Mus musculus: one gene and its partners. The protein of the gene in region 5 interacts with the protein of the main gene of each other region in a pairwise test. Links are inferred from orthologs where the notes say so. Each region holds a gene or a part of one and is shown on either strand. Other genes may lie near its edges.

Region 1 (5,472 bases), on a different chromosome or scaffold from region 5:
CAGAAATGGAAGCAGGTAGATCGCCTGGAGTCTGAACCAGTGTGGGCTTCACAGAATGAGAGCTACACAGGATGGGGGTTAAGCTGAACCTGCCATGTCCCATAATACCCTCTACCCTACAGGCAGCTTTCTCACTTAGTATCATTAAGCCTTCCCTGGGTCCTCTTACGTGAAGTGTTTGGTTTCTCTCCCAGTGATTGAGAAGTTCACAGAAAACACCAGGTTCTGCCTCATCTGTAACTACCTGTCCAAGATCATCCCTGCCTTGCAGTCTCGGTGCACGAGGTTCCGATTTGGCCCTCTGACACCCGAGCTCATGGTCCCTCGACTGGAACATGTAGTACAAGAAGAGAAGTGAGTTTGCTTTACAAGAAGGAAGAGGGAGGGTTTGGGGAGTGAGCGGCAGGCAGGGAAAGCCCCGGCTGGGGCCTCCTGGCTGCTCGGGCCCTCGGTGTTCTGCCTCCTGAGCCCTTTTGATTGTTCTTGACCCCCACCTATATTCCTGCAGGCTGTCGCCTCTCTTTTGTCGTGGGAACTGACTGTTGCTGAGTCCTTTTGTACGTGCTGCCAGCTGGCTAGAAGGGAAGGCTCTGAGACATCCATTCTGGGTGATGAGATGCCCAGCTATATCCTCTTTCTTCCCAGAAATGTCTCTCGGCAGCCACTTCCTTAAAGCCTTGGTCCATAGTAAAGCTCTGGCTGGGGTCTGGCCACTCATGTGACACATGTTCCTAAGCACAAGTAGCTTAGATGTGCAGGAGAGTGCTGTCCCCTCCATTTTGGTGCTTTCCTTCCTTGAAGCTTCATCATTCAGGGCTCACGTGGTGGGTGAAGTCTGTGCTCTTGCAGAGGGGGCTTTAGTTAACTCTTCTGCCTGTTTCCTTTTAGTGTGGATATAAGTGAAGATGGAATGAAGGCCCTTGTCACTCTGTCCAGTGGGGACATGCGAAGGGCTTTGAACATCCTTCAGGTACAGTCACACTGCAGGCACTTAAACCATTGCTTCAAAATAGTTTTACAGGAAAGCCAGCCAGCTAGTCCACACGTTCATTCAGACTCCTAGTAAGATTCCCCTTGCCTGCACTAGCTCCCTGCCTGTGTGTTCTGATGGGAAGGCTCTGCGCTGCTCTAAGCTATGGGAGGGCGCCACATGCTGTAGTGTTCACAGCAGAGGGCAGCCCTTCCAGTGCACAGAGTTCAAGATTCCTTCCCACTGTGCTTGGCCTGTGCCTTGTCACTGCGGCAGGGCAGCTGCTGACAGCCCCTGGGCCCTCCTCCTGCAGAGTACCAATATGGCCTTTGGGAAGGTGACAGAGGAGACTGTCTACACCTGCACCGGACACCCACTCAAGACGGACATTGCCAATATACTGGACTGGATGCTCAATCAGGACTTCACCACTGCCTACAAAAGTATCCTTTTGGGCAACTGCTGCTAGGTTTAGGGCTCAGGGTGGCCAGAAGCCCAGGCTGCAGCCAGCACCTATACCTCCCAGGTGACAGGTGTCATCCCCAGGCAGAGTGCCCTTCTCCTCCTCAATGGCTGTCCGGAGCTTCCCCGTTCACAGTCTAAGCGGACTCACTGCCTTGTTGTGCAGTGAGATGAGAAGCTACAGGCGGCTGTGTTACCCTCTGAGCTGTCTGCTCTGCCAAGGCGGGGCTATCCCTTTTAGAAAAGCATGTTGAGGATCACATGGGGCGAGTTAGAATGGGGCCTGCTGCTACTGTCCTGGGATGAAGAGCCCAACTGCCAGGTCGCCACTAGGGGCTGGTGTGGAAGCCTCCCTGCAGCAGGTTCTGGAATGCTTCCCCTCCCCTTAGCTGCTCCTCCCCAGACATCATGGAGCTGAAGACTCTGAAGGGCTTGGCGCTGCATGACATCCTGACAGAGGTTCACTTGTTTGTACACAGAGGTAACTATGTGGAGCCGGGAGGAGGCACAGCTTTGGGATAGCTACAGAGTGTGACATCTTTGCCTCAGAGCAGAAACGGGAAGACAGTGACTGACCCTTAATCTTGAGCAGTTCTGAATGGCTCTGTCCAAAATCTTTGTAATATCTGTAACTGATAGGGTTAGTGGAAATGAGCCCGTGGAGGCTGTACTGTACATTTCATTCTCATTACAAGCTTCCCACACCAGGGATTGAACCCAGGGCCTTGCGCATGGGAGACATGTGGTCTACCACTGGGCTGTCTCCACTGAGCTTATTTCTGGGGTCCGTACCCAGGACTGATGCATCCTAGACATTCAGCAGACTCCAGCCTCTAAGTCACATTCTAAGATGCATCCCACAAAGGGGAAAAGATGTGTTCCTGCAAACTCGACAGTCTCCAGGAAGCTGCCTTTAAGTTCCTGCTTCCTGCTTCATTTCAGGGCTCAGTCTCAGCATAGGCAGAACCTGAGAATCACCCGAGATGATTCAGAGTGGGGAGGGGATGCCAGCCTTCGGAAGCTTTTGTCTCCCAGCCGCCACCTCCAAATGGAGAGGCTCTCAGGTCCCCAGTACTGTGAGCCTGTGTGGAATCTGTTGCTTAAGTTTGTCCTCAAAACTGGGTAACATGAGCTTTCTGGTTAGTGTATAGCTGTCACCCACTGTGGACAATGCTGACTTATTCATGTTCTATGACCACTGGGGATGGGGCCATGTATGTTTGTGGGGTCTTTATTGGTGGCATAGGAGATGGAACACTTCCTGAGCTGCCCCCAGCACGTGTGTGATAAAGAGCAGTGGCGCCCACACCACGATCAGCTCATCCGTCTCATGATCTGTATGCATGGGTCTGAGGGATGCTTGGGCTTGTCAGAAGTCGTGTGTGTGTGTGTGTGTGTGTGTGTGTGTGTGTGTATGTGTGTGTATGTGTGTGTGTGTGTGCGGCCCGCCCGCCCGCAAGGTAATCTCACTCATTTGATTCTGTTTTTCCCTCAGTTGACTTTCCATCTTCAGTTCGGATACACTTATTGACCAAAATGGCAGACATCGAGTGAGTGTGTTCCCAGTTTCAGTTCTTTGGCTGTCCCCTCTTCTTTGGCTGTCCCCTCTCCTGTTGTAAGCTCTTTAGTTTCAGCTTGTGTGCCATTCACACAAGTAGTGGGGTAGTGCCAACTGCACTGTGGAGCAGGCTGTGTGAGGATGATGAGCGCAGAGCGGTCCCTGCCTGAGCTGAGCTCCTGGCTCTCCTCACACCGGGCATGCAGGTCGTCTGGAGATGGCCAGCTACTCCACTTATTAAGGCAATGTGACATACAGGAGCCCAGTGGAGAAAAACAAACAGACTCAATTTTTCACTTTGCCCAGCTCAGTAAACACTGTCATTACTCCCCAGCGATTCTGGCAGCTGTCATTAAGTGGACAGCACACTGGGCTCCAACCAAATACTAGTATCACAAGCTCCAATAGGCTGTCACTTGCTCATGCAGGCAAAGTAGGTCATTTCCTATCACTGTGTTGGGAGTGACAAGTGACAAGATGAGCTGCTGGTGTCCTGCTTTACTGCCCTTCAGTGAACCTGCAGCTCTCTGCTGCAGTGCCACAGCCGAGGGGAATCTGCAGAGTTCCTTGTAGCAGTTCCTAAGCCTCCATCCTGTGCACCCTGCCCTGTCTGTCTGTAGAGGGCCGAGTGCAACTCAGAACCTGCTGGTGCTGGGTTTCTAATCCGGCCTCGGCAGCTTCAACCAAGAGAATGTTGGGGAGAAGAACGTTGGAGGACACAGACGGCAGTGCTAACCAGGGTGGGTCTGTCCGCTCCAGTGCCTCCATGGCAGGCCATAGCAGCTCCCACATTCTCACCCTTATAGGCAGGGCCTGGGTGCTTTATACTCAACTTGGGTTTGTTATTCCCAGGTACAGACTTTCTGTTGGCACCAGTGAGAAGATACAGCTGAGCTCCCTCATCGCCGCTTTTCAAGTCACCAGAGACCTGATAGTTGCAGAGGCCTAGAAGCTCTGAGGCCTGGCCCCTGGGTGACTGGAGGACAGAGGACATGCTGCCCTGGGCCACTGGATAAACCCAGTCACAGAAGTCTCTCTGCAGGCATTTAGGTACTGCTCTCTGTGGCTGTTTGGAGCAGGGATGGACAGGGCAACTTTAATCCATAATGATCGACACTGCTTGTCTTTATAGGGGAAACTACCCTGTCCCGTGGTGAGGGCTGCTTCAAAGTCTTTACTATCAGTCACTGGGATGACAAATTGGCTGCAGCTGAGTTGCGTCCTGTCTTCCAACTCTAAATGGGTGCTAGTAGGTTTCTAATCAAATATTTTATTACAAAATTTCAAAATCAGTCTTTTGCCCAAAGTGCTGACATGCCTATAACCTCAGGACCCAGGAGGCTGAGGCAGAATTGCCAGGCAGCTGCAGGTCAGCCTAGTGAGACAGACTCTGTCTCAGGAACAATGCAGTGGCCTTTCCCACTTTTAGAAGGCTTGCCAGCAGGTTCCAAATTCTATTGTGAAAATAGGAAAGAAACTACAACAGTTTGCCTTCAGACTGCACACCTCACTTGTTGGGGGGAATGGGGCACTGCAGACGTTCCTGCCGCACTGCTGGGCTGTGTTTTTACCAAGTCCTTCACAGGAAGAATAAAGCGTGTGTTCAGAGTTTAACCGTGCTGGGCTGTCTACCTGCATGTCTGTGTCACACTGTGTCACAGGGAACTCCTTAGAGACTATTCCTTCTAGGCCTTCAGACTGTTGTTACCTTGGGACCAGACTTCCCTTGGGCCGGATGAGGGGCACTGGAGGGCACCCGGTGCACCATGGGTAAAATGCATCTCAGGGAGGTGCTTTCAGTGTGTGCTGTCAAAGGGAGAAACTGACTTTCTTGTCCATGGAGAGCTTGCTCCCAAGTTTCAAGCTGAGTGAAGGCAGCATCCCAGCCATGTGGAAGAGTTGCCACCAGTGTCCTGCTTTCCATTTTAAAAAAAATTTTTCCCCTGAGACAGGGTTTCTCTGTAGCCCTGGTTGTCCTGGAACTCACTCTGTAGACCAGGCTGGCCTCAAACCCAGAAATCCGCCTGCCTCTGCCTCCCAAGTGCTGGGATTAAAGGCGTGCGCCATCACTGCCCAGCTACTGCACTCCTTTTATGTTTGGTTTAAACGTTTTGTTTTGCTTCTTAATGAGAGAGAGAAAAAAAGAACAGAGACAGGTTTTTTTTTTCTTTTTTTCTCTTTTCTCCCTTCAATGAAAGCCTCATTTTGCATTGTTCTTCAAATAGAGGAGACTCCTCTATGCATACACTGTACAATGTTAACACTGCCTCCATAAAGCATCAATTAAGAAAGGCCAAAGAATAAGATGTTGAGTTTCTTTTAAAATAATTTAAAATATATTAACTTTCTAAGGCAGATTTTGTGTGAGGCGTCTTGAATAGGTAGCTGCTACCGCTGTCAAAGAACGGTGCTTGGAAGGGGCTGTCTGTTTTGGGCAGTTGAACTGGAGGGTACATCCCATGAGGTCAAGCAGCAGAGACAA
Region 2 (6,144 bases), on a different chromosome or scaffold from region 5:
AAATGTGAGTATCTCCATCAAATAACGGGCAGTCAAGAGCTTTAGGAACACTTATTCTCACTGAAAATAGCCTCTACATCACTCCTTGCTCCTGAGTATGTCGGCGAACAGTCTGTTATATATTTTTGCCTTTTGTTTTGCTTTCCGTACTCAGAGATCAAATCCAGGATCTCCTACATGTTAACCACAGGTTTTCCCAGTGAACTATACACCCCAGACCCTATTATGTATTAATTAAAGAATAAAGACGATAGGTAGTTATGAGCTGCTTAGAATTTCCTAGGATGTGACTTTGCCTCCCGTGAAGATCCCTTGGACACCTGTGAGGTGGAAACCTGACATTAGTTCTACTGTAAGCAACACCAAGGTGTAATTGCTTTTCTTCCTTCTGAGTACCTTGTCTAGTAGGCCATTTACTTTGATGAGGTCATAATGCCATGTTTGTAGAGTCTCCTTTGTCATTTACACCTTTGAGAAGAATCAACTTTTAAAACAACATGAACATTAGCTGGTACATTACAGCCTGAGATCACAGGGACAAAGATCTCTGGAAGGCCTGGTGGAGACTCTTTCCTGTAAGCGTACCTCATCACTGGGCTATGTGGGCACTTTGTTCCATGTTGTGATGGTAACGACATACCTGAACTGATAGCGGATATGCTTCTGGTTGAGTCCTGTACTCCAAGTCATGCAAACCCCATGGAAAAGTTCCTCCATGGTGAAGAGAAACCGTCTTGAATATTACACCACAGAAAAACTGGCAGATTTAGACATCTTTTCCTCTCTTGAACACATTTCCTTACGGATGTTCTCAGAGGAACATCGTGCTCTAGCTTAAGTGTGAGAGTGATAACCTACATCACCATTATATTTATATTTTAGAGAAATGTCTAAAAATGAAGCCAAGTCAATAAAAATAAAGATTTAAACTTTCATCCGGGTAAAGTAAAAGCCTTCTACTCAACATGCCATCCTCTCTGATTCCTTTAGAGACAGGACATGAGGTGCAAGCTTTTGGCTTCCATTTTTCGTTTGGTATTTAAGTAAACGACATCTTTGGTTCCGGAGGAGCTTTAAAAATGTGACTTCTGATAAATGCTGGCAGAACTGGTGCATTCCTAGAATAAATTCTGTATGCTCAGCGATTTCTACTCAAGCTCACTCATAGGTCGTCTGATCATGCAACTGCCCACCACAGAATAGGGTGAAGAGAAATCTAGGCATGGCAGAAGGTTTAAGTATTAAGTATTAAGTATTAAATTACGTAAACTATATTCATTATATTGAGATTTCACGGCTAGAGTCAAATTGTTAATCAAAAGTAAGACTGATGTAACAACGACTCTTATGGTATACCTGGACTTTACAATTTAGAGGGTTAGGGAACTAGAAAATTGCACACAAAAGGGAACTCCATTATTCACCCTCCTTCCCTTTCCAGCACGTTTCAAATCCAATTGTTCTTGCTTTTAAGATCACTGCTCTCAGTTTTCATTCTGTCCTATAGGGAAACCTGTGACTCTCTGCCCCTCAAAGTAGAAGCTTCCTAGGTCTGCAAATACCAGAAAGCATCTCCAGGCGAAGTTGTATCTGCCTCAGGAGCGAAAACACGGTAGGTGTAAAAAAGACATATGAAGGGGGTGGGCTGTAAATCTTACACTTGTAGCTGGAAAAACAAAATGAGATCCCCTCCCTGCCAAATGCCCGGACAGCATTGTGACCTCGGCATAACGCTTCAGTCCGACCTGGAGCAGCGCCTCCGCCAGCACTGAGGGTGGGCCCGCGTATAAATTGGCTGGGATGCAAGGTACCTAGGGAGCCCGGCCTGGCCCCGCCCCGCCCCGCCCCGGGCACCCGCGCGCTAGCCAATCGGACACGCGGGCCCCTTCCCATCGGCGACTCCACCCCCGTGCCCGGGATGTTGGGCCCCCGCGGCGTGACGCGAGCACGGCGGCTCCGCCCCCTGCGTCTCGGGCCTCGCTGGCCTTGGGGGGATGGTTTCATCATGGCGTCAATGCAGGTGAGCGGAGCTGCTGCAGCGGGGAGGGCGAGGGGGCCATCGAGACGAGGTGAGCGTCTGCGCGGGGTCGGCGTCCGAGACCTCTGGGCCTGGCTCCGGGCGACCTTCCCTGACCTCGGGGCGTCGGGGGATCGCCTGGCGGCGAGCCGAGCGGGGGTGTCGGCCGGTGGCCGCGGACAGTAGCGGCCGCGAAGTTGTGGCATAAAGGCGGCTTAGGGGGAAGAAAGGGCGAAGTTCGTCGTGCGCTTCGCGGTGGGGGCTCCGCTCCGCGCCCCTACGCGAGGATGCCTGCCGCTCGGCTCCCTGGCCACCGCCGGGATGCTTTTCCCCTCGCGCTCCCCAGCGGGGTGGAAACAGCTGTGCCCGCCGCCGTCACCCGCGGTCGGGGCGGCCGGAGACCGGCAGAGCCCCTCGCCGAGGACGGCCGCCTGCCCACGGCGCTCCGCGGCCTCTGCCCGGCCTCCCACGCGCAGCCTCGGATCGCCGGACTCATGCTCGTTCTTCTCTGATCTTCATCCGGTGCCCGGTGGGTGCCTCCTTCTATCAGCCCGCACTCTGGGCATTCCCTGGCAGCCCACGTCTCTTCTTCGAAGCCGCCCTTCGTCCCTGTCCCCAGCGTCCTGTGCTACCACAACGTGCGAGCTCGTGGGCCTGCTCCTCGGCCTCGATAGAAACTCGCCCTCTTAAATTTTTTTTTCTTGCGATGCCCCACCCTTGCGGGATTGGTAAGGCCGTGGCTCCTTTGCCTTTCTTTCCCAGACCTTTAAAACCTTAGTTTGGTAGGAGACGCCTGTTAACCTGTGCTCTGTCAGACTTGAAGGTGTTTTTTGTAGCTTCCAACTTAATGTATTCCCCCCCCCCCTTGCAAATCCAATAAAAGAAAAAATTTTCAGGCAAAGATGGCAACCACAATTGTAGTTTCTAGAGATTGCATTATCTATAGCCGGCATTTAATTTGCAGATAGGGCTAGCGGTGTTAAAGCACATAGGAAGAGAGAGTAGAACTCTTGTAGCGTGTCAGCGGAACGCTTTTTGGAGTTTTAACATCATCCTCGAGTAACATCCGCATTTTCCTTAGAATTTTTGGTTTTTGTTTCTAGAAGAATAAGCAAGATCTCGTTGTTGGCGCTTCTCTGCTAGCAATGGTTTGCATTCTTACGCATTTCCCTCCTTCCCCTGTATCTTCCTTCAATCAGCTTTCCTTATGGTATTCTTTTTGCATTTGCTTGTACTTTTGGCCTTTCCTGCAGTAGCATTCTTAGGTGAAGAGGTGTCACGAAATGGTGCAGTGAAACAAGAACAATTTCAGGAAACGTTATACTTTACTAGTCTCCCCAGAGACGTTAGAGAAGTTTCATCATTTGAGGCCAAAAAAGGAACTGTGGAACATCAGTTGACAGCAGATGGGCTATATGATTGCTTTAAGATTTTTATCTGTATTAAGACATTATTTGTTACTAACACTTGACGGTGATCTGTCTTAAGATACAGGCATTATTTAAGACTAAAAATGAAGATTAAAATCCACACTGGGATTGTATCTGGCATGAGAGCTGGTTAGCTTTTATACTTAGTTTTTGGAAAAGGCAGATTTGTTTGTAAGAGATTGCTATTTTTGGAATTTACTTTGTCTTCAGCAGTGGGGGAAAGTGCTTTTTATGCCTGTTTCTATGCCTCAGGCAGTGCTGTGGAAGAGTAGCAGCGTCTTTCTTTTGTTGGATTAGAGTGGGAACGGATCCTTTCTGTTCTAAAGTTAAATCTTGACCTTTTATATGTATCTCTTTTAAAGTATCTGATCATTTTTCCTGGAAATAGTAGCATTTTGACACAGATTTATTTCTTATTTCTTAATTGTGTATGTTATCTCTGGGTGGGTATGTGGGTATGAAAGTACCTGTGTAGGCCACACCTGCTCTGGATCTGAGTTACAGGTGCTTGCCAGGTATTGGCTATGGGTGCTGGGAATCAAACCAGGGTCTTCTCAAGAGTAGTTCTTTCTCTTAACTTCTGAACTGGCTCTCAGCTCAATAGCAGAATCACTCTTTGGTGTGGTTTTCATTTGGTATCTTTGCTCAAAGTTTATTTCCTGACCATCTTTACAGCAGAAGTTAACTCTTTTCAAAATAACTTAACATAACACTATAAGTGATCAAATGTGTTCATTAATTCATCTTACCCTAGGGGATATTGTTTTTGCTAAAGAAAAGGTTACTTAAGCTGCTGTATTTTAAAAACATGCATACATATGTAATGTGGGGTTTGATTACTTGGTAACAATGAAATAATTTTTATATATAGTAAAACCAAGTAAGGAAAGTCTTCACTTCTAACTAGAGAATGTGGACTTTGAGATTATAATTACCTTTATGTTTTTGTTTTGGCTTTTCTGGAACTAGACCAGGCTGACCCTAAACTCTCAGGTCCACTTGCCTCTGCCTCCTGAGTGCTGGATGAGATTAAAGGTGTGCGCCACTACTGCCCAGCTTGCTTTTATGTGTTTTATCTTCATTCATTGAAACCGGTTCTTGCTGGGTAGCCTATGCTTACCTCACATTTGCGCTCTTCCTGCCTGGGTCTCCTGAGTCCTGGGCTTGCAGGTTGTTCCACTGTGTCTGACTTTGCTGTCATGCATCCTGCCAGTGCTTCTCAACTTTCTTCCATTCACACTAAGTACAGTAAGATAGATGACGATGTTGGCGGCTGGAAGAGCCCAGCCCGGAAGCTGGCTAGGAAGGTGAGGGATACAGGGTTTTGTTCTCATGCCCATGTGCTGTGGGGAAGCTGCTGTTGCTAGATTCATCTGGGTACAGTTCAGTGGGATGCGTTTCACACCCTGATCCATCCTTTTCCATTTTGCCTCACCTATGCTTCCTACTAGTTCTTTTACAAGCAAAGTCAGAAATCACCAAGTGAGATAATATTTTAAGAATTCTTCCTTTAGAAAAAGCTTTTTTGGATATATTTTAGTTTTATGTGCATGGGCGTTTTGCCTGGCATGTATGTCTGTGTATGCCTGAAGGGGCCAGAAGATGGCTTTAGACCCACTGAAACTGGAGTCACCATGTGGGTGCTGGGGCCTCTGAAAGATCAACAAGCACTCTTAGTTGCTGATCCATCTCTCCAGCCCTAAGAATTCATTCTTAAAAGAATGATTTGCTAAACGGCAATACTTAAAATGGTAGACGATAAAGAAATAGACATAAACTTAATTTTGTTAATTCAGAAAATAGGTTTCAGTGCTAGTAGCACTTGGAAGATGAGTTTAAAACTTTCCTTATATACTGCAAGAGAATTGTTTTATTACTTTTTAAATGTGATTCTGAAATGTTTGTAAAGTTTAACAATACTGGTATATTAACTTTAGCCAAACCCTGAAATTGCATTTTTGGTTTTTTAACTGTATGTGTGTATGTATTTGTATTATATATATTTATTTTTCCATTTCTTATAGCTCATTTCATGTTATGAAACATGTAGTCTGACTTTCATACATATTTTCAAATTTAGTATTTAGCCATTTTGTTCAGACTCCTTTTAAACTAGAAGTTTTAAATTTTACCTGATCGAAGCTGGGCATGCTGATGCAAGCCTTTAATTCCTGCACTTAGGAGGCAGAGGCAGGAAAATCTCTGTGAACTAGGCCAGTTTGGTCTACATAGTAAGTTCTATGACAGCCAGGGCCACATATGAGGCCCTGTCTCAACTTTTTTTTTTTTTTTTTTTTTTTTTTTAACTTAATTGGGATAATAAGGTGGCTGAGTGAGTAAGGCGCCACTACTAAAATTAATCTGGTGTGTTTTCCTAATTTGACCCCTTATATGGTTATGATCTTAGGAATTTAGCACGTAATAGCGGATGTTTGTCAACTATATAAGTAATGTAATTGCAATAAGTGGTTATTCTTTGTGGACCCCTCTCTCTCCCTCTCTCTCTCTCTGAGGGTGTTCTCTGTAAATGACAGACATAAGTGAGCAAAGCACAAAGTGATGGGAATTCTGTCCCTTTTATTTTGTGATCTATCTCTTGTATCTTAGAAGTGGATAGATTTTTAACCATTCAGGCAGCCCTTCGAGATGACTTCATGAAAGCAGGAAGACAGTGCTTTACTCTTAACTGTGAACAAA
Region 3 (5,971 bases), on a different chromosome or scaffold from region 5:
TGGTGGTATATGAGCTGGGCCCCTAATTCTCTTAACACTTAAAAACGACCGCTTGCCTACAGCCGGACCTCTAAGGTTCATCACTGGCTGTGAGACCTGGGACATGTTGTTTGGCCTTTCTGAGCTTCAGTTTCCTGAAAATGAAGACACTGCATGTGTTTGTGAACTCAGCAAGGCTGGGGAAAGTCCTTTCTAGTGATCTGACGCTGCTCCTTAGCTGTTCTGCCAGGACAGTTTTTACAGCAGAGAACCCAGTCAGAACACAGCAGGCCCCTAACCATACCCTCTCCTCCAAAGACTTCTGCTCCTCAGTAGAGACCTCCACTCTTCATTGCCTCTTAGAAAGCAGCCCTGGTCCTCCTGCCTCCGGCCTGCTTAACCTTATTTATCCTACTGTCTGCTTCCTGGAGAAACTCAGATTTCCTAGAGTGGGCGTTAAGCTTTCATTTTTTAAAACAACAGTTATTCGTGTGTGCCCTCACATGCCACAATCCACAGTGTATGTGTGCACATTAGAGATAACTTGTTGGTGCCAGTTCCCTCCTCTCAGAAGCAGGGACCAGCCTGGCTGCTCTGGGCTGGTGGCCATGCCTTTCTTACTTAGAACAAGGTTGCCTAGCAATAAGCTGCTGAGACCAGAAATCTGTGTCATCTGCTTCCAGTTCAACCACTCACCACCTGGGGGACTTTGCTCACAGGCCTCATTAAAGCCATCTAAGAAATGGGCACATGGGTGGCATGATGCCACCCTCACAATGGCTGAACATCATGAGGCAGGCAGGGGGAGTAATATAGGTTGTGGGCCTGATTACTGTGGACTCAAGTAGACTAGTTAACTGAATACTCAGCAGGTTGCTATCCCGTGCCCAGACATGTACAGCAGATTAATGGACAGATGGCAGGTGCTTGGGCACACAGACAGTCTAGAACACTCAGAAGCAGCAATACCTGTCCCAGCTACGAGCATCCCTTCCTGAGGGGAAGTGGGAGTCACCTTAATTGCTCCCCAGAGAAGCTTGGACATCCTAGTGGGGTTGTTAAGTATGCATAGATGAAGGCAGTTGTTGTTGTTGTTGTTTTGTTTTTTGTTTTTAACATACAACACTTGGTGTGAATTTGGAAGACATGGGGAGGTTAAAGACAATTTGCTGGAGTTCTTTTGTTCCATTGTGTGGGTCTGGAGGATCAAACTCAGGTCATTCCCCCCACCTCCACCCCCACCCCCACCCCCAGGCTCCTGGGTATTTGGCTGGCCCACTTACTCCTAAAAACCTTCTGCACACTGATGCTTGGCTGGCCTGGAGTTCCCAGGAAGGCAGTATCCCCAGGAGATACTGGCACTTTGAGGGCAGGGACTTGGATTTATCCTAGGTGCCTACTTCTGGAACTGTACTGGGCACTATTTGTACACTGTACTATTGTACACACTGATATATATATATATATATATATATATATATATATACATATATACATATATACATATATACATATATATATATATATATATATATATATATATATATATATATATATATATATATATATATATAATATGAATGACAACATCTCATGTAGCCCAGGCTGGCTTGGAATTTGCTATATAGCCAAGAATGAATGAATTTCAGACATTTTTGCCTCAGCCTTCCTAATTCAGAGATTACAGGTGCCCAATTTCCCTAGTGCTGAGATTAGGAAAGCATGCTATCAACTGAACTTCACCTCCTGCTGCACTCTGTGAATGGGTCAATTTCGGTCCTGCGAGGGCTGTGAGAGGAGCAATGTCAGCTGATGAGGAATCCATGGGTGTGGGGAAGGGTCCACGAATTGGTTACCCAGCGAATCTGCATCTTATAAAGTCTAGAGCCCGCGCAGAGGGGTTCAGTGCCCAGGGTTTGGAGTCTGAGGCTCAGTCTTCCAACCTGAGTTGGACGATCAGGCACCCAGGCTGGGAGCGCGCCCCCGGCGCCCCCTAGCCTGCGTGGCGGCCGCGCGCACGGGCGCAGGGGGCGGCGCGGCCCCGCGGCGGGGAGGGGCGGGCGCGCGGGCGCGCGCAGAAGCGGCGGCTGAACCAAGCGGACTAGCTGCGGCCGCAGCGCCGCCAACTCGCGTGTGACCCGCGCTCCGCCCGCCGCCGAGAGAGCCGCCAGCGCCGGTGAGTGGCCTGGGACCAGCGAGGGGCGCGGGCCAGGGCGTGGGACTGTCACCCGAGGCGTTGTGGGCGCGCGCGCGTGCCCGGGGAGTCGGCGGGGACGCCCGCAGGAGGCCGAGGTGTCCGCGGCGGGCTCCATCCGCCCAGCTGCGCGGGAGTGCGTGCGTGTGCACATCAGGGGCCCGGGCTGTGAGTTTGGGGTGGACCAGTGCGGGTGGACGGGCTCGGCTTCGGTTTATCCGTTTATCGAGTGTTTACCGTGGATGCCAAGGAGTACGTGTGCCCACGTGTCTGAACGTTCCCGAGTGAGTGTGTGCACACGTGCACGGGCAAAAGTGTACAAATTCCATACGAGAGTGTGTTTAGGATCCAGACTGTGCACTCCACACTGCAGGCCGGTGTGTGTGTGATGTGCCGGCTGACCCTGTCCAGAGAGGGTGCTGGGCCGGATTCTGTGAGTCCGCAGATCCCCAGGTTCTGACTTTGGTTGGAAGCCTCTTAGCCCGGCCTTGGCAGAACTCTGCATGGCCACGCAGGCTGAGGAGGGGGCTGCGCTGAACTTGAATTGAGGTTTTCTAAATATGTCTTAGTTCCCTGGCTTTGTTCGTGGCTGTCTCTAGCTAGGCCAGATTTGGACTCTGTTCCCCATACCTAGGGGTTAGGCCCTAGGGAGACCCAGGGCCCCAGATACTTGTCCTCTCTGCCTGCTCCTCTAAGTTAATCATATTTCCCTGATTTAACCGAGCCCCAGAGGGCCATAACAAATGGGTGACAGCATGCTTGGGACACATCCTCTAAGGGCTGTCCGTGAAGTTTTGATTGACAGTTTGTGCATGTGTGTTTGAAAGTTTTAACTGCGTTAGAGCAAACTTTAGAAAGTTTATGTACAAAGTTTCACTCCACTTGCAAAATGCAGGGTGACTTTTTGAGGGGAAAATGTCCTCACAGGAGCCTGGTGTGTGTAAAAGGGCATGTTAAAAACCCTATTGCTAATGGGAGAAGAATTTCATTGAATGGGTGCCTGACTCCCAACAGGAGAAACTTAACCAGTGAACTTTGGACATCGTCGTCCAGAAGACAAAACCTGGAAGGAAACAAAAAAAGACCCATGTTCATTTTTTTTTTCCTCTTTGTCCCGAAAACTGGAGAAGAAAAAATATCCCCACCTTCTGGACGTGTTGAAACTGTTCCCCTCCCCCACCGGGGCCAGGCTCTCCCTGGATCCCCCACCCCCAAATAAAATATGCCTGTGGGGAGCGGAGGAGTGAGTCACTCTCTGGCAGAGGGCCCCACGGCAAACATTTGGGAAGGTTCTTGCTTAACTTCCCAGAAGAAAAGGCCCGGGATTTAAAATGGTCCCTGTGGTTGTGAGCCTCCGAGCCCCGTCTGCTTCAGAGATGACTACAAAAGTCATTTGCTGTCTTTTAAAAAGCCCAAGTCTCAGACTTAAGCATTGTCCAGGATTTAGAGCTGTTTAGGTTTCCAGAAATGGAGATGCTGGCTTTCCCAGGTGGCATATGGTGTGGGAAAGGAAGAGGGTAAGCAGCTGAATCGTTTACAGAGTACCTACTGTGTGCTGAGAGGTTCTTGGGGTCCTTAACTCTCCTGGATTCCACTCTGTTTTTGGGTTTGTGACCAAGGCATCTGACTCATAGAGAAATCAAACCTGTGTCCCAGGCCACCAGGGAAAGGGTAGTAGCCGAAGTCTGAGCCACCTGCCTGCCTTCTAGGCCTTCCTCCTTCATTGGGCCCAGGACTTGACATTTGACTTCCTAAGCTGTACAGCCTGGGCACTGAGGACTTGAACATTCCTGTCCTCATTAGGGCTCACCATAAGTCAGAGGTTATTGTCTCTATTATACGAGGAAACAGACACTAGCAGAGATGAACTGGCTGGCATAGTTTGGGAAGGTAGCACCACGACCCCGGTCCCCCATGATTAAGGATGCACCCTGTGCTGGGCTTGGTGCACAAAGTTTGAAGTTATTTTTCCTTTTCCCCACCAACACTGTTAGATGAGCACTGTTACAGTGTCCATTCTGTAGATGAAAAAACTGGGACACAGAGAGGCTATAGAATAGCGGTAGACCCAGAATTTGAACCCAGACTTGTCTGGACAGAGTCTATAGTCTCCCCATGAACTTGTAAAGTCCAGGTAAGTTGATAGATGGCAAAGTCAGGATTTAAATTCGTAGCTCTGATTCTAGGACGGGCTGGCTACCTTTATTGTGTTTTGTTCTTCTGGCCTGTTGTAAAGCCCAGCGATTTATGACAGGCCATGTTTTGCAGACCAGCCTGTTTCTAGAATTTGGGGCTAGGTCTTCCCAAAGACTGCTGAGCCACCAGAGTGAAGGTACTTTCCAAGTGCCAAGGATGGTCAAACCACTGTCAAAAGTAGAATAATACAATATTTCTCTCCTCTTTTCAGGTTGGACCAAGGAGGGAGGTGAGGGTGGAGGACTTGGTGAATCATTCAAGATTAGATATGGGTTACAACCAGGTGTGGTGGCTCACGCCCATAATTGTGGCTGAGGCAGGAGGATTGCTTTGAGTTCTGGGCCAGCCTGGATTTACATAGCAATTACCACATGTCCCAGGATTACACACCAAGATCCCATTTAAATAAATAAATTGATTAAATAAACACATAGATATAGGTTGGAGACAAAGCTGGACATGGCCCCAGGAAGAGCCCAGCCCCTGACCTTGTAGGGAGATGGAGAGTGATCTCAGATCCTTACTCTCCGTTCTGAATCTCTGACACAATCACTTCTGCAAAGACTCCTTGTCACCTGTCATTCAGAACTGGGTCCACCAGTTCACTTCCTCATTTACTTCCGTTTCTGGTGTTTCAGAAGAGGACTGTGTGTAAGTAAGGACCTGCGTGGTTGGGGCTCTGCCTGCCCAGCACTAACAGGAAAAGGTTGCTCTCTCCCTTGCAGGAGTGTCGTTTGCAGAGTGCTTTGCGATGCGATGCCTAAATGTAAGGTGTGAAGTAATAGATGGTACAGGGAGGCGCAGCCACGGTTCTGGCATTGATAGATTCCTCCCCATCTGGCCTGTGACTTGCGGAGGTAAAAATAGGCCTTGTTCTATGTTTTTATTTATCCAATTTAATTTTTGCTGATGTCATCATAGGCAGCAAAGTGCATATACTTGGGAGTTTGCTGATCCTTAGGACTGGGGCTCTGGAGCAGGGGGATTGTGGAGGGGCCATTGAGGGTGGTCTGGGTTTCTGTAAAGGGTTCTGAAGTTTTTGAGTGGATGATCTCCTAAGTTCTTAGCTTAGTTCTGTCACCCAGGTAAATCTTCTGTCTGTCCTTCCTTCCCCCTTCCTTCCTTCCTTCCTTCCTTCCTTCCTTCCTTCCTTCCTTTCTTCCTTCTTTCCTCCCTCCTCTTTCTTTTCTTTCTTTCTTTTTTTTTTTTTTAAGCTTTCTCCATTCCTGTCTGAATTTGGTGACACACTCATAATCCATCTTCAGGATAAACTTGTAGCCTTCTCAGACCCAAGGCCCAGACAGAAGTCATATTTGGACACATCCGTTAGCAGTCTAATATCCTGTGCCATTAATCCTGGGAACTTGAACTTGAGCATGTGATCTGGCAGTGTGACATCTGTCACTCCAAGAGGACTTGCTGTGTGACTACAGCCCCACACATACTGGGGACTCCAGTTCTGGATTTTAACCCCCCACAGGCAACTTCTCACGTGGTCTGGCAGCTGAGGACCTGCTCTCCTAGGCAGGTTCTTGGACTGTGCTGGTTAGAAGCTCAACACCCCCTAAAACCCTTGTTCACCACCCCTGGAGCTGTGCCCTG
Region 4 (5,921 bases), on a different chromosome or scaffold from region 5:
TGCCTAGCCCATACAACCCAAAGCTGGGTGTTGCCAGAAGAGGTTCCTCAAGTGCAAAGTGGAGGTACAAAGAAGGGGCCACTCATAGACACTAGATCCCTTTTCAATACAGACTCAGTAGCAATATAAACAAAGGAAAGTGAGTTCACAAATCCAGACAGCTGACTTTCACTCCTCCATGCTTGCTTGCTTCATGCATATGTACACCCACTGATATAAGAGGGTGATGTCGGTTGTCTTATCGTTTTCCTCATTTATTTTGGTGTGTGTCCACGTGCCTTTTTCATTTGTTCTCCAACTATATTGAGGCAGGATTTCTCACTTGAATCCAGAGCCCAGTGATTTGGCTTGCTCCAGGGACCTTGCGGTTTTTGTTTTTTAATTCTTGTCAAGACTTACTTATGTGAGTTGAGTGCTTTGCTGAATGCATGTCCCCCATGTGTGACTGATGCCTGTAAAGGTCAGAAGAAATCGTTGGATCCCATAGAACTGAATTTGTTTGTGGGAGCTGGGAAGCCAAGCAGCCACTTCTTGAAGAGCAACGGGTGCTCTTAGGTACTGAGCTATCGCTCTGGCCCCAGCCCAGCCCAGCCCTGGCTTTAAACTCTTAGTTCTTTCTCACTGAGCCATATCCCCAGCTCCACTTCTCCTTACTAGTTTTGCAACAGGATTTCTTAAGTCTAAAGCTCATGGCTTAGACTGGCTGGTCAGTGAGCCTCAAGGATTCTTCTCTGCCCCTCAGTGCTGGGATCACAGCTGTGTAATGCCATGCCTGCTTGGCTTGTGTGGGCTCTAGGGACCCAAAATTAAGTCTTCATGTTTGTGCAGCAAGTACATTAACCCACTAAGTTATCTTCCCAGCTCTTAAAAAAAATCCAATTTCATATTGCTCATCTGCTTTTTTTTGTTAGCGGAAAGGGTGTCGTCATAACATTTTCATACATATGGCATACTTGTTATTGTCTTCCCTTCTGCCTCTTTTCTGGTCCCTTTCTCTTACCCTTCTAATTTCTTATCTAAGTTTTGCTGTTTAAATCATGCCACCTGGGACATTTTATTATAGAACAGCAAGCAGGCTTTGTAACTGCCAGTTACATCTGATTTGCTCCAAATATGAACTCTGCCTAAGGTACATCATTTTATGAGTTGCTGAAACCAAAAATCTTGGGTGTTAACTCTTTCTTCCTCCCCAAATCCCGTATTATCCCAGTTGGCAAATCCTATCCATTTCTCATTAAAATAAACACAGAATGAAACTATCTTCATTTCTTTTACTTAGACCTATTCCAAGATCACTCTACTACTGTTTTTGGTTTTGGTTTTTTTTTTTTGAAAACGTGTAACATTATTTCTTGATTTCAGGTGATGCAATTAGACATGATCTACCACACTTGGTTTATGTAGTTCTGTGGCTAGAACCTGCTAGATATGAGGGGAAAAATTGTTTTGCACATGTACACACACACCCCCGCAGCCAGCTGTCCAGAATTTGAAGGCTCAAAGCAGTGGACTCTCTTTCCTTTGCCTTCTTTTAAAATTGGACAACAGCAGGGAGGGGCGTGGTGGTGCACGCCTTTTACCCCAGCCCTCGAGAGGCAGAGGCAGGCAGATCTCAAGTTCGAGGTCAGCCTGATCTACAGAACGAGATACAGAACAGCCGGGACTATACAGAGAAACCCTGTCTCAGAAAAGAAAACACAAACAAACAAAACACCCACAACAAACCAAAGATCTGGAAGGCTGTGAGGTTTGACCCTAGCCAATGGGGAAAAGTCACTAACAAATTAAAAACTACATCAACTGCCTGTTCTGATGTAGTGTTAGTCCCTTTGGGTTCTGCTACACTCTCTTCCAAAAAGAATTGCCTTGCTGAGGTACTCTTCATGCTATCCTTGGTGAGACACCAAGATTATTCTTTGGTTCCGACATAGGCAAAAATTCTACCAAATGAGCCACCTGCCCATTTTTATTTACGTCAGAACGATGTGTATTTCCCACCTCTCTCGTTCGGAATTTCGTTTCCAGAAACCCGGCGTGGTGGAACACGCCTGTAATCCCAGCTCCCGGGAGCCTGAGGGAACCACCCAGGTCCGACCTTCCTTAGCGATCTAAGCAGTGGCCTCAAAAACCAAAACAAAGCACTCCGTAGGTGGAAGCAGATCTCCGTCCCGCCCGATCTATAGGGCAAATAAGCTCAAGGCTCCTAGAAGTACGTAAGGCTCAAAACAAATCGTAGAGCGGAAAGTAAACACTCCAGGCAAGCGCAGCTCGCCTCCGGTCGGCCCTGTGGTTCCGCTCTTCCGGTTTAAGACTTCAGAGGCGGGACTTCCGACCGTCTGGTGCTGTATTTCCGGTATGTACCGGAAGTTCATTAGCAAGTAACTCCTGCGGAGAGGAGGTGGTGCGGTGTGCCGGCCTGCCTGCATCTAGAGCTGTTATGGGCAAAAGAGATCGAGTGGACCGCGGTAAGCACTACTTGTAACTGTCATTGTCGTGGGGTTTTCTCTGGCCTGTTGTGTCCGGGAGATGCGGAACTTAGCCGGGTGGGAGGCGTTTGCCGGACGCCGGTATGCGGGTGGCGCTGGTTTAGGAGTTCTTGCCAGAAGTCTCCTTGGGTGGTGAAAAAGGAACCCTAGAATCCTGCTGGGCTCACTTCTGTGTCTTCGGTCGCAGACAAAAAGAAATCCAAGAAGAGGCAGTATGAAGAGGAAGAGGAAGACGAAGACGACATTCCTGGGAACGAGTCTCAGGAGGCGGTGCCCTCCGCCGCTGGGAAACAGGTGGACGAGTCCAGCACCAAAGTGGATGAGTATGGAGCAAAGGACTACAGACAGCAGATGCCACTAAAGGGTGACCATACCTCCAGGCCCCTCTGGGTGGTAAGCATGGCCAAAAAGCCTGCGCGGCAGCTAAATCTTGGACATTCTTACACCTCCAAAATTCAAACGTGAGAAATGCTGCTCTTTCTGAAGCAGCCGGGAGAGACGGCTGTCATGGGGCACACTGGAGTAGCTGGTGTGATCTGGTGTTCTCCACTTCACCCCAGCCCCCCATATGATGACAAGCCAGATAACTCAGGAGGTAAAGGCTCTTGCTGTCATAGGAGGAGGAGAGGCCCGACTCTGGCAAGTCACTTTAGAGCGGTGACATGCATGCACTCACATACACGCACATACCCCACATACAGTCAGTAAATGACATTTATCTGTTTGGGTGGTATATGTGCATACCCTGTGCAGAGAGACGTGCAGGGATTGTTTACAGAGCCCAGAGACTGATGTGAGATGCTTTTCCCAGTCACTCTTCACATATCTGCCCAGCTCCCTGTTTTGGCTAAACTTACTGGCCAGCGATGCCCCCCACCTCCCACCCCAACTTAATCTGCCTGCCCGCCCACCCACCTATCTCCAGCCATCACAGCTCTGTGGTTGTAGGCATGCATTCCTGGTTTTATACTTAAGTGCTGGAGATCGCAACTGAGGTCCTCATGCGAGCGAGCACTTTATACACCAAGGTAGCTCCCCAGCCACTAAATAGTTGTTTTAGATGACAATTGATTTACACTTCTTAAAAAAGATTTTTAACATTTTATATGTATGTGTGTGTGTATACTTGTTTCCAGAGGAGGCCCGAAGAGGGCGTAAGATCCCCCAAGCCTGGAATGACAGGCTGTTATGAGCTGTCTGATGTGGGTGCTGGAAATGGAACCTGTGTGTTCTGCAGGAGCAGCCAGTGCTCTTAACCACTGATCCATCTCTTAGGTTCTTTTCAAATTGATGGTAGATAATGTTTTGGTAGCTAAGTTTCCTTGGCTTAAAATACATCATGATCTGTACTCAATTTGCATTCTAGCCAAAAGGCCTTTTGAGAATAGTATGTTGGAAGATTTCCATATATGGAACATTGGGAACCTTTTCTGCCTACTCTTCTCTAATTATAGGAGCAGGGTCCCTGCAGTTTCCTGAAGGATTGATTGCAAGAATATCCTTCCCATTGGACACTCACCCTTCTTGATAGTGATGTGACAGTCTAGTGGTGTAAGAGTCACCTTATTCACCTGACATAATTGTTGTCTGGAGGCTTACTGCGCCTGTCTGCTAACCTAGGCCTAGTCCTGGAAGCTTCTAGTCTCTGTGTAATCTAACCTAGGCCTGGAATGTTTTCCCTCCTCTGAGACTTGAAGCTGAATAAGCTCGCCCTTTCTAGTTCTTTGTGAGCTCTGACTGGCCAGTTTAACTCAGCTGCTCTGGCTCAGACTCCTCTTCAAGCTGACTGCTTCAATCTGGCTTCTCTCTTGGCTTTTCCTGAATTGCACTGCTTGGCTTCATATTAACTTTAGGAATCTCTTCTAATCTTCTGGCTCCTTCTCATTCTCTGACTTGTTCTGTTCTCACTGTATCTAGCTTGCACTCTCTCTATAACTGTCCCAGTAAAACTGCCTCCTTCTCCCTCTTTGTGCTGCTCCACTCTCAACTCTACTGTACTGCTCTCCATGAACTCCGCTGTATGCTGTACTGGACTCTCTCCTCCTGTACTGCCTGTCTCTCCCTTAAGTAGCTTCCCTTTCCTCTCTCACCTTTGAGAGTTGGGCGTATCCTTTCCTATCAAGTCTCTCTGATTTGTCACTTTTTCTGCCACTCAGTTAAACATCACTTTCAAACATGGGTACTTCCTTCTGCAAACTAACTTTACCTCTATTGTTTGGGATTAAAGGTGTGAACTAAAGGCATGCCTGTATTCTGGCCAGAGGGATTAAAGGTGTGTGCTGAAGGCTGAGCCATACAACTAGGAGAAGGTTTTTTCTTTTCTTTTCTTTTCTTTTCTTTTCTTTTCTTTTCTTTTCTTTTCTTTCCTTTCCTTTCCTTTCCTTTCCTTTCCTTTCCTTTCCTTTTTTTTTTTTTAGTAAATAACACAGTCTCAGGTTCGCAGTGTGATCAGAAATCCTGTGACATAGTCTCTGCAGCTCATTGATATTCTTGCCTGTTGTGTTCCCTTGATGCCTTTTAGGCTCCTGATGGCCACATTTTCTTGGAAGCCTTCTCTCCAGTTTACAAATATGCCCAAGACTTCCTGGTGGCAATTGCAGAGCCGGTGTGCCGGCCTACTCATGTACATGAATACAAGCTAACCGCCTACTCCCTCTATGCAGCGGTCAGTGTTGGGCTGCAAACCAGTGACATTACTGAGTACCTCAGAAAGCTCAGTAAGACTGGAGTTCCTGATGGAATTATCCAGTTTATTAAGGTGAGTTACTAGCAACTCTTGTGCTCAGGTGCGTACTTACTATATGTTGTCATTGAAATGTCTGATTTGTGTTTCCTTTGATAGCAAAATAGCTTCGTGCCTAGCTGCTGCCACTTTAGATCCAGCCATGGTTCTGGCTGAGATCATGTGTTTTGTGGGCTGCTCCAAGCCATGGGAGTAGAAGTTCAGGTCCACTATGGCCAGGGTTACTTGAGAATCCAGCTCTGGATAGATGGAACTATAGCCTGCATGTACATATCAGAATCCTAACCCCAAATACCTGTGTGTTAGTAAGACTAAATGAGGTCATAAATGTCTCCCCATTCAGAAGGTGCTTGTCTTTATTAGGAATTATACAGTTGTCATAAGTCCCTTCTTTATGGGACTGTGTAGAGAGAAGGTGACTCTCTTCTAGCCAGGAGACCTTACCACAGCCTGAATTAGCTGGTCCTGGTCCATTGATCCTGAGTAGTTAGAACTCTGAGAACATAAGCTTTTGTTGTGGAGTTTTTTTGGTGGTTAGCTGTTACAGGAAGTGAGCTCCATGTAAGGTAAATACTTAAGATCCATGGTAAATTAAGTGTATTAGGGTAAGACAAAACTTGAAATGTTGACCTGAAGAGGGTTTCATGGGAACAGCAGTTGAATATAGGTGTATATTATTCACAGAAGATAGG
Region 5 (5,913 bases):
GTTCTTGATCCTCAACTCCTCTCTGGTCCACTCCCCTCTTTTCCTCTTCTCTTTCTCTTTCCATCTTCCCCCTCTCTCCTCTCATGGCCTGGTTCAGGCTAAACTTTTCCAGATGCTTCTGGTTGAAGTCTCCACTAAAATCCTTCTCCTTAACCATACACACTGTAGTCATGTCCTCCTCTTCATTCACTTACAATGGTTAAAACCAAATGTCTAAAACAGTAAATTTACATATATTTCACAATAAAAAACTGTGTTAGCTGGTTGGGTGTAGTGGCTTAATTAAGCTCATCTCAGCACTCAGCATGTTAAGGCAGAGGATTGCCATGAATTTGAGCCCAGCTTGGAATATGTAGCCAGACAAGACTACACATAACACATCAAGACCTTATCTCACCAAACGTGGTGGAACAATCCCAATTCTCAGGCAAGACGAACAGGAATTAAAGGTCATCCTAGGCTACATAGCAAGTTTGCAGCCAGCCTAGGATACATGAGGTCTTGATTCAAAAAATCCAAGCCAAACAGTACAAGCTAGGTGACATAGCTGGAGCTTGCAATCCTAGCAGTCAGAGACTGCTACATAACGTTCATTGATTTCAGGCTGACCTGGTCTACACAATGACTTCTGAGATAGCCTGGGCTATTTAGTGAGACCCAGATTCAAAACAAACAAACAAACAAACAAAACAAACTAAAACAAAACAAAAAGCCCAAAACTACAATAATAAAGATTCTATAATGACACCTTAAGTTTAAAGAATAAAAGATTACAGAGACTGAGAAAATATAATCTTCAGGTAAGGAAATTAGTTTCAATAAATTACTAGAGGGCAGGCAAACTGGTAAGAGCTGGGGCAGGGTAAATAGTTCCCTTAGAAGACACCATAGCACTGTGTTGGAGGAGAGTGAACTTAATTAAGGCTAAGATGATTAACTCTTATCCTGAAGTCAAAATGGAAAGATTTAACTCAGCCTCAGGCAAGCTAGATGGGGGTGGGGGGGAGGCGGAGCAAGCCTAAGAACAGAGAAATCAGACTGGGCAATGGTCAGAAAGACCTAGGGTTGAGTCATACTGTTCAGCTCCTACAGAGACAGGTACAAGCGACTTCAGCCTCTTCTAAATGAGTTGATGGTGGACAATATCAAGACAAATGAGGGTAGCCTGGGACTTTTTTTCTTTTCTTTTTTTCCCAGACAGGGTCCCTTGCATCTCCGACTGGCCTCAAACTTCCTATTGAGGATGGCCTTGAACTTCTGACCCTTCTGTTGATAAAGATGGAGCTTTGTTGGTTTGCTTATTTAAGAGTGCTGGACAGGTGAGATCAGTATTTGCTTGCAGTTGTTTTGTTGGCAGTGGTGGGGTTTGAATTCAACCTTGTATGTGCTAGACAAGTGATCTACTACTGAGCCTCATTCCCAGCCCTCGCTTGGAATTACCTTCATTGTAATAAGTCAGATGCAATTTTCAGAGCTGTAAGAGTACACCCCAGGGGGCCTGGGACACAGATGGCTTAGTGGGGAAGGGCATCACCACCAAATCTGAGGACATTAGTTCTTCCCTAGAACCCACATGCTGGGAGAGAACAGACTCAAGTTGCCCTCTGACCTCATACAGTAAGACAATGTAATAATTTTTAAAAAAGATTGCATTAGAAGGAATATTACATTGGCAAAAGTTGAAGAACCAAATACATTTCTTTGTCTTCTCTTCCAAGTTCCTTTTCATCAAGGACAGCATTATTTAACCAGGCAGATGGTGCCCATGGTCTTCTCCTTTTAAATATACCCAATCCATCTTAGTACACTAGCCATTAAGAGTCAAAGTTCCTGAAACCTAAGTATAGGTTTATCTGACAACCCTACAAGCATATAGCATGATCACCATTTTGTATAATCTTCTCTTGTGTCTTTTCCATCTTTGTTCTATTATTTTTCTTTGTTCTTCACAAATTTCTCTCACCCTCTTTTTGTCTCCCTGTCTCGTCATTCCTTCTAGCTTCCTCTATTTGGAAACAACCGATTCTCTAATCTCAGTTTACTTTTTTGTCGGGTGGGTGATACTGGGATAATTATTTTCTCCGGGGCTCAGTTTCCTCTGTAGGGTGGAATTTAATAGAGGTGTTCTGCCTTCCATGGTTTTCAAAATAACATTGAGGAATATGTTATATACCTAGCAGAGTCCCTGGTATCCTGTGAGAGCTCAATGTACTGTGCCCTTTTCCCCTTGGTCTTTAATCTTCTTACCTGTATTCCCCTACTCCTCACCCTAGAGTCCAGGTAAAAGCTGGGGGGCGGTGGGGAGGGGGGAGAGAAAAAGTCCTGGATGCTAAAAGAGGAAATGCTTGAGTCGGGGGCGGGGACTGAGAAGTGACCTGTGCGCATGTGCAGCCGCTGGGTCAGGCTCTGGCTTGGAGCTGGGGAGGCGGGGGTTGGGGGGTGGGGGGGGGGTTGGGCTGCATAATGAGGACTGGGGTTTTTCTCGATGTCCCCTTCCGGCTCTGGGAGGCGGCGGGACCTTGGCGGTCCCCCGAGCGGGCGCGACGCTAATCGAGGGCCGCTCGGCCAGAGAGGTAGGCTGGAAGATGGCGGAGTGGGAAAGAAGGAGGGGCTCTGCCGGGCGGGAGCGGAGCTCCCGGGGGAGGGGATGGGGGTGGCGGTGGGAAGGACATGGCCTGAGGCCAGTGGCTGGGCGAGCCCGGGAAGCTGGCGGGCTGCACCGGTTGAGTTTTTTTTTTTTTTAAAAGTCCTGACGTGGATGCACTTGGTTCCGGTCTTCGAGTTTTATCCGATGGGACTGTCCTGCCTGGGAAGGCCGAGGGAGGAAGGAAGGGAGGGAGACAGACATAGTGACTTCCGTTTCCTTCTCCTAGGCCGGGGCCCGCCGCCCAGCAGAGTTGTGTTTTCCTGATCCGGGCTCGGGCCGCCCCTCCTCCGGGACCCTCCCCTCGGGAACCCGTCGCCCGCGGCGCTTAGTTAGGACTGGAGTGCTTGGCGCGGTGGGTACAGCTCTTGTGGGTTTCCCGCCCTCCCTTCCTCTCCCTCTGCTCCCCTCCCCTCCCTTCCCCTCCCCTCTCTTCCCTCTCCTCTCCTCTGCTCTGCTCTTCCCTCCCTCCTCCTCCCTCCTCCCGCGTTCCTCCTCCTCCCCCCTCCTTCCTTCTCCCCCCCTTCTCCTCCCTCCCTCCTTTTCCTTCCCTCCATTTCTTCCCCCTCCCTTCCGCCTGGGCTAGCTCTGCCTAGTTGGGCGGGAAGGCCGCGCCCGCCCGCCCGCGGGGAATGCTGGACTGGGCTCCCTATCCAGGCTCCCCGGGATTGCCCCTGGAAGCCGTGGGTAGGGGGGCTGGCTTCAAGCCTTCGGGTCAGCCTCCTTAAACTTCGTGACACCTAAGGTAAATCTAGTTAAAATAATTAAAAAAAAAAAAAAGATTTGATCAACCTCCCTGCCCCCCCCCCCAGTTCGATACCTTGTATGGGGCAGGGTGGTGTGTTTCTGGCAAGGGCATGTGAACCCTAAAGAATGAGGGCCAAAGAGCTTCCAGAGGAGGAAGTAGCTGGTAATTTTTGCCTCTTTGTCACCTTGGTCACTTCCCCAGCATATTTCTGAGAGAAAAAAATGTCACTTATGACTTTCAGTTCCATTACTTTAACTCCGTTGAACTCCACAGTTTACTTGAGTTGTGGGGTGTTTTTCTTTTAAGCAGGGGCGGGAGGGAGGAAGGGAGTGGTGATTGCTGAAACTAAGCAGTGGCTCACTCCATCTCCAAAAAGGAGAACATAAGCCTTGGGGAAGACTAAACCTATCAGTTTGTAATAATCTACAACTTTACCTTCAAGTACAATTATGGCACTACTTCTGACATCCTAGCTATACCTTGATAGTGAATGAATCCTAGAAATGTCTTTTTTTTTAAAGACTGGAAAGTTCTACAGTGTTTCTTCATTCTTCTCATTTTCTCCTTAATAGGATTTTTTTTTTTTTTTTGTAGCCAGTTTCAAGAGAACACTGTTAAGAGCCGGCCATCTTAGAATTATAGCATTTTTGAGCTGGGAAGGATCTCAGCTCAACTCTTTTGTTTTACAAAGCAGAAACTAAGGCTCAGGGTTTCATGATTTGTGTAAGGTTACCATGCTAGCCATGCTAGTTAGATTAGAATTCAGATTTTCTAGCTCCCTGGCCACCCCACTCCTGTTGCTTCAATATAACCTCTAAGCAAATATCTAAGTATATTCTATTTAACATTTCTGTCATTTTCAGTGTAGTAAACATGTATGTGAAACTTGAGTCAGGGATTGTTTTCCCCATAACTTAAGAATGGAAAACATTTTAGGTCAGATAGATTTCTACCTACAGACACAGAAACATAAGCTTATATAGCTGTTTGGATTGGGTCACATGGATCCATGAAAGAGATAAAAAAAAATGGTAACCCTGGTTACTTCTGAAGAAGACGGATGGAAAACTAAACTTTGCTTTTCTCCTGTGCCTTACATGTTTGAATATTATAAACAAGTTTGATCTTATTCTAGAAAGTTTTAAAGCTCACATAGATGTATATCAACATAAGTATTTGCAATTGGTATTTATGAACATCCACTTATCAGTAATTTTTATTGTAAAATCCAGTATGGCTTATTTCGTCTTCACAGAACAGGTCTGTATTTATGTTTCTCTTTTGGCTTTTACCTACTGTTCTGTATTCATGAGAAATGCTAAAAAGCTTTGGCTTTATCTTTAAAGAATAAGCTTCCTGATTATCAAATAGTGTAGAAACTATGAAATTCAGATATCAAATTTGACATACAGATAAATCTAACTTACAGAATCATTTTGGATTAAACTTATTTTTAAAAGGTTATGCCTGTAAAGATTGTATTGGTGTATGTAGTACAGTAAATACTTGCTTACCATGTATAGGGCTCTGGGCTTGTTTGTTTGTTTTGTTGAGCATATCAAAGAAAATGTTAAAATTTGATCAAAATACATGATGTAATTTTGAAACTAACATAACCCACTATTTTGTACAATGAATATACACTAATAGGAGAGAGAAAGGGGAAAGAAAGCTAGGTGTGGTGGCTTTCACCTGTAATCCCAACAACACTGTGGAGTCAGTGCAGGAGAATTGCAAATTCAAGTCAGCCTGGGCTGTGTAGTGAGATCCTGCCTCAAAAACAAAGCTGGGTTGGACAGATGACTGTTTATATGGCCTGGCATGGCCTGGCTGCTCTTGCACAGGACCCCGGTTCTAGTCCCAGCATTCAAACGCTATCACAGCCTTCTGCAACTCCAGTCCCAGAGGATTTAATGCTGCTTTTGGCTTCCATGAGCACTGCCTGCATGTGATACACATATATGCATGCAGGCAAAAGACCCAGATGCATAAAATAATAAAACAGAGTGAGGGTTCACATTTGTAACCTGTGCGTTTGGTAAGAAGAGGATCAAGAGTTCAAAGCTAGCTTGGGCACCATCGGAACCTGTACAAGCGGAATCAGAATTAATACAACTTTTATATTATGTGGCATTGTTTGGTCCTTAAGTGTTTGCTTTTTGTGCATGTTATCACTCCTCATGCATGTTATACAGTTTTTAAAATGGTAAATGTTTTGGGTTGGAGGTAAAGGCCTCAAAGGCTTTGGGGGTGTACACAGTCCAGCATAGTATACACTAGGCTCTGAAGTCAGTATCTAGAACTAAAGGGGAAAAAAGTAAGACTGGATACGTCCCCACTGTTGAGTTCTGTTCTCTTCTTTACAGATATGCTAATGAAGACTCGGGTGAAAAAAATGAATTGCTTAGTTATATTGCAGACTTTGGACTGGTGTCTTCATCCTTGTCTAGAATTCCTGCAGTTAGTTGTATTGCTGTGGTAGGGGGTCTAAAGATTCTACATACAGTGATACACATTTGGA

Evidence for each region.
Region 1: the proteins of Xiap (region 5) and Rfc5 interact in binary tests that used the Homo sapiens proteins (3 or more experiments, as listed by UniProt). The link is inferred for Mus musculus from reciprocal best matches to the Homo sapiens genes XIAP and RFC5.
Region 2: the proteins of Xiap (region 5) and Ube2w interact in a two-hybrid assay, tested with the Homo sapiens proteins (2 studies listed by BioGRID and IntAct). The link is inferred for Mus musculus from reciprocal best matches to the Homo sapiens genes XIAP and UBE2W.
Region 3: the proteins of Xiap (region 5) and Nek6 interact in binary tests that used the Homo sapiens proteins (3 or more experiments, as listed by UniProt). The two-hybrid records come from large-scale screens. The link is inferred for Mus musculus from reciprocal best matches to the Homo sapiens genes XIAP and NEK6.
Region 4: the proteins of Xiap (region 5) and Ercc3 interact in binary tests that used the Homo sapiens proteins (3 or more experiments, as listed by UniProt). The two-hybrid records come from large-scale screens. The link is inferred for Mus musculus from reciprocal best matches to the Homo sapiens genes XIAP and ERCC3.

The regions. Positions count from the first base shown.
Region 1 is NC_000071.6:117,378,277-117,383,748, reverse strand, and holds the end of Rfc5 (replication factor C subunit 5), read left to right. Parts: intron 1-194; coding exon 195-354; intron 355-888; coding exon 889-970; intron 971-1,283; coding exon 1,284-1,413; intron 1,414-1,835; coding exon 1,836-1,913; intron 1,914-2,927; coding exon 2,928-2,982; intron 2,983-3,842; coding exon 3,843-3,939; 3' UTR 3,940-4,604; downstream 4,605-5,472. UniProt on the Homo sapiens protein: Subunit of the replication factor C (RFC) complex which acts during elongation of primed DNA templates by DNA polymerases delta and epsilon, and is necessary for ATP-dependent loading of proliferating cell nuclear antigen (PCNA) onto primed DNA.
Region 2 is NC_000067.6:16,615,113-16,621,256, reverse strand, and holds the start of Ube2w (ubiquitin-conjugating enzyme E2 W), read left to right. Parts: upstream 1-2,005; coding exon 2,006-2,020; intron 2,021-6,144. UniProt on the Homo sapiens protein: Accepts ubiquitin from the E1 complex and catalyzes its covalent attachment to other proteins.
Region 3 is NC_000068.7:38,509,639-38,515,609, forward strand, and holds the start of Nek6 (serine/threonine-protein kinase Nek6), read left to right. Parts: upstream 1-2,058; 5' UTR 2,059-2,155; intron 2,156-2,237; exon of another isoform or gene 2,238-2,341; intron 2,342-4,939; exon of another isoform or gene 4,940-5,020; intron 5,021-5,094; exon of another isoform or gene 5,095-5,120; coding exon of another isoform or gene 5,121-5,226; intron 5,227-5,971. UniProt on the Homo sapiens protein: Protein kinase which plays an important role in mitotic cell cycle progression. Required for chromosome segregation at metaphase-anaphase transition, robust mitotic spindle formation and cytokinesis.
Region 4 is NC_000084.6:32,237,957-32,243,877, forward strand, and holds the start of Ercc3 (general transcription and DNA repair factor IIH helicase subunit XPB), read left to right. Parts: upstream 1-2,370; 5' UTR 2,371-2,437; coding exon 2,438-2,465; intron 2,466-2,673; coding exon 2,674-2,879; intron 2,880-5,007; coding exon 5,008-5,244; intron 5,245-5,921. UniProt on the Homo sapiens protein: ATP-dependent 3'-5' DNA helicase/translocase. Binds dsDNA rather than ssDNA, unzipping it in a translocase rather than classical helicase activity. Component of the general transcription and DNA repair factor IIH (TFIIH) core complex.
Region 5 is NC_000086.7:42,065,484-42,071,396, forward strand, and holds the start of Xiap (E3 ubiquitin-protein ligase XIAP), read left to right. Parts: upstream 1-2,352; 5' UTR 2,353-2,573; intron 2,574-2,667; exon of another isoform or gene 2,668-2,873; coding exon of another isoform or gene 2,874-2,999; exon of another isoform or gene 3,000-3,389; intron 3,390-5,758; exon of another isoform or gene 5,759-5,913.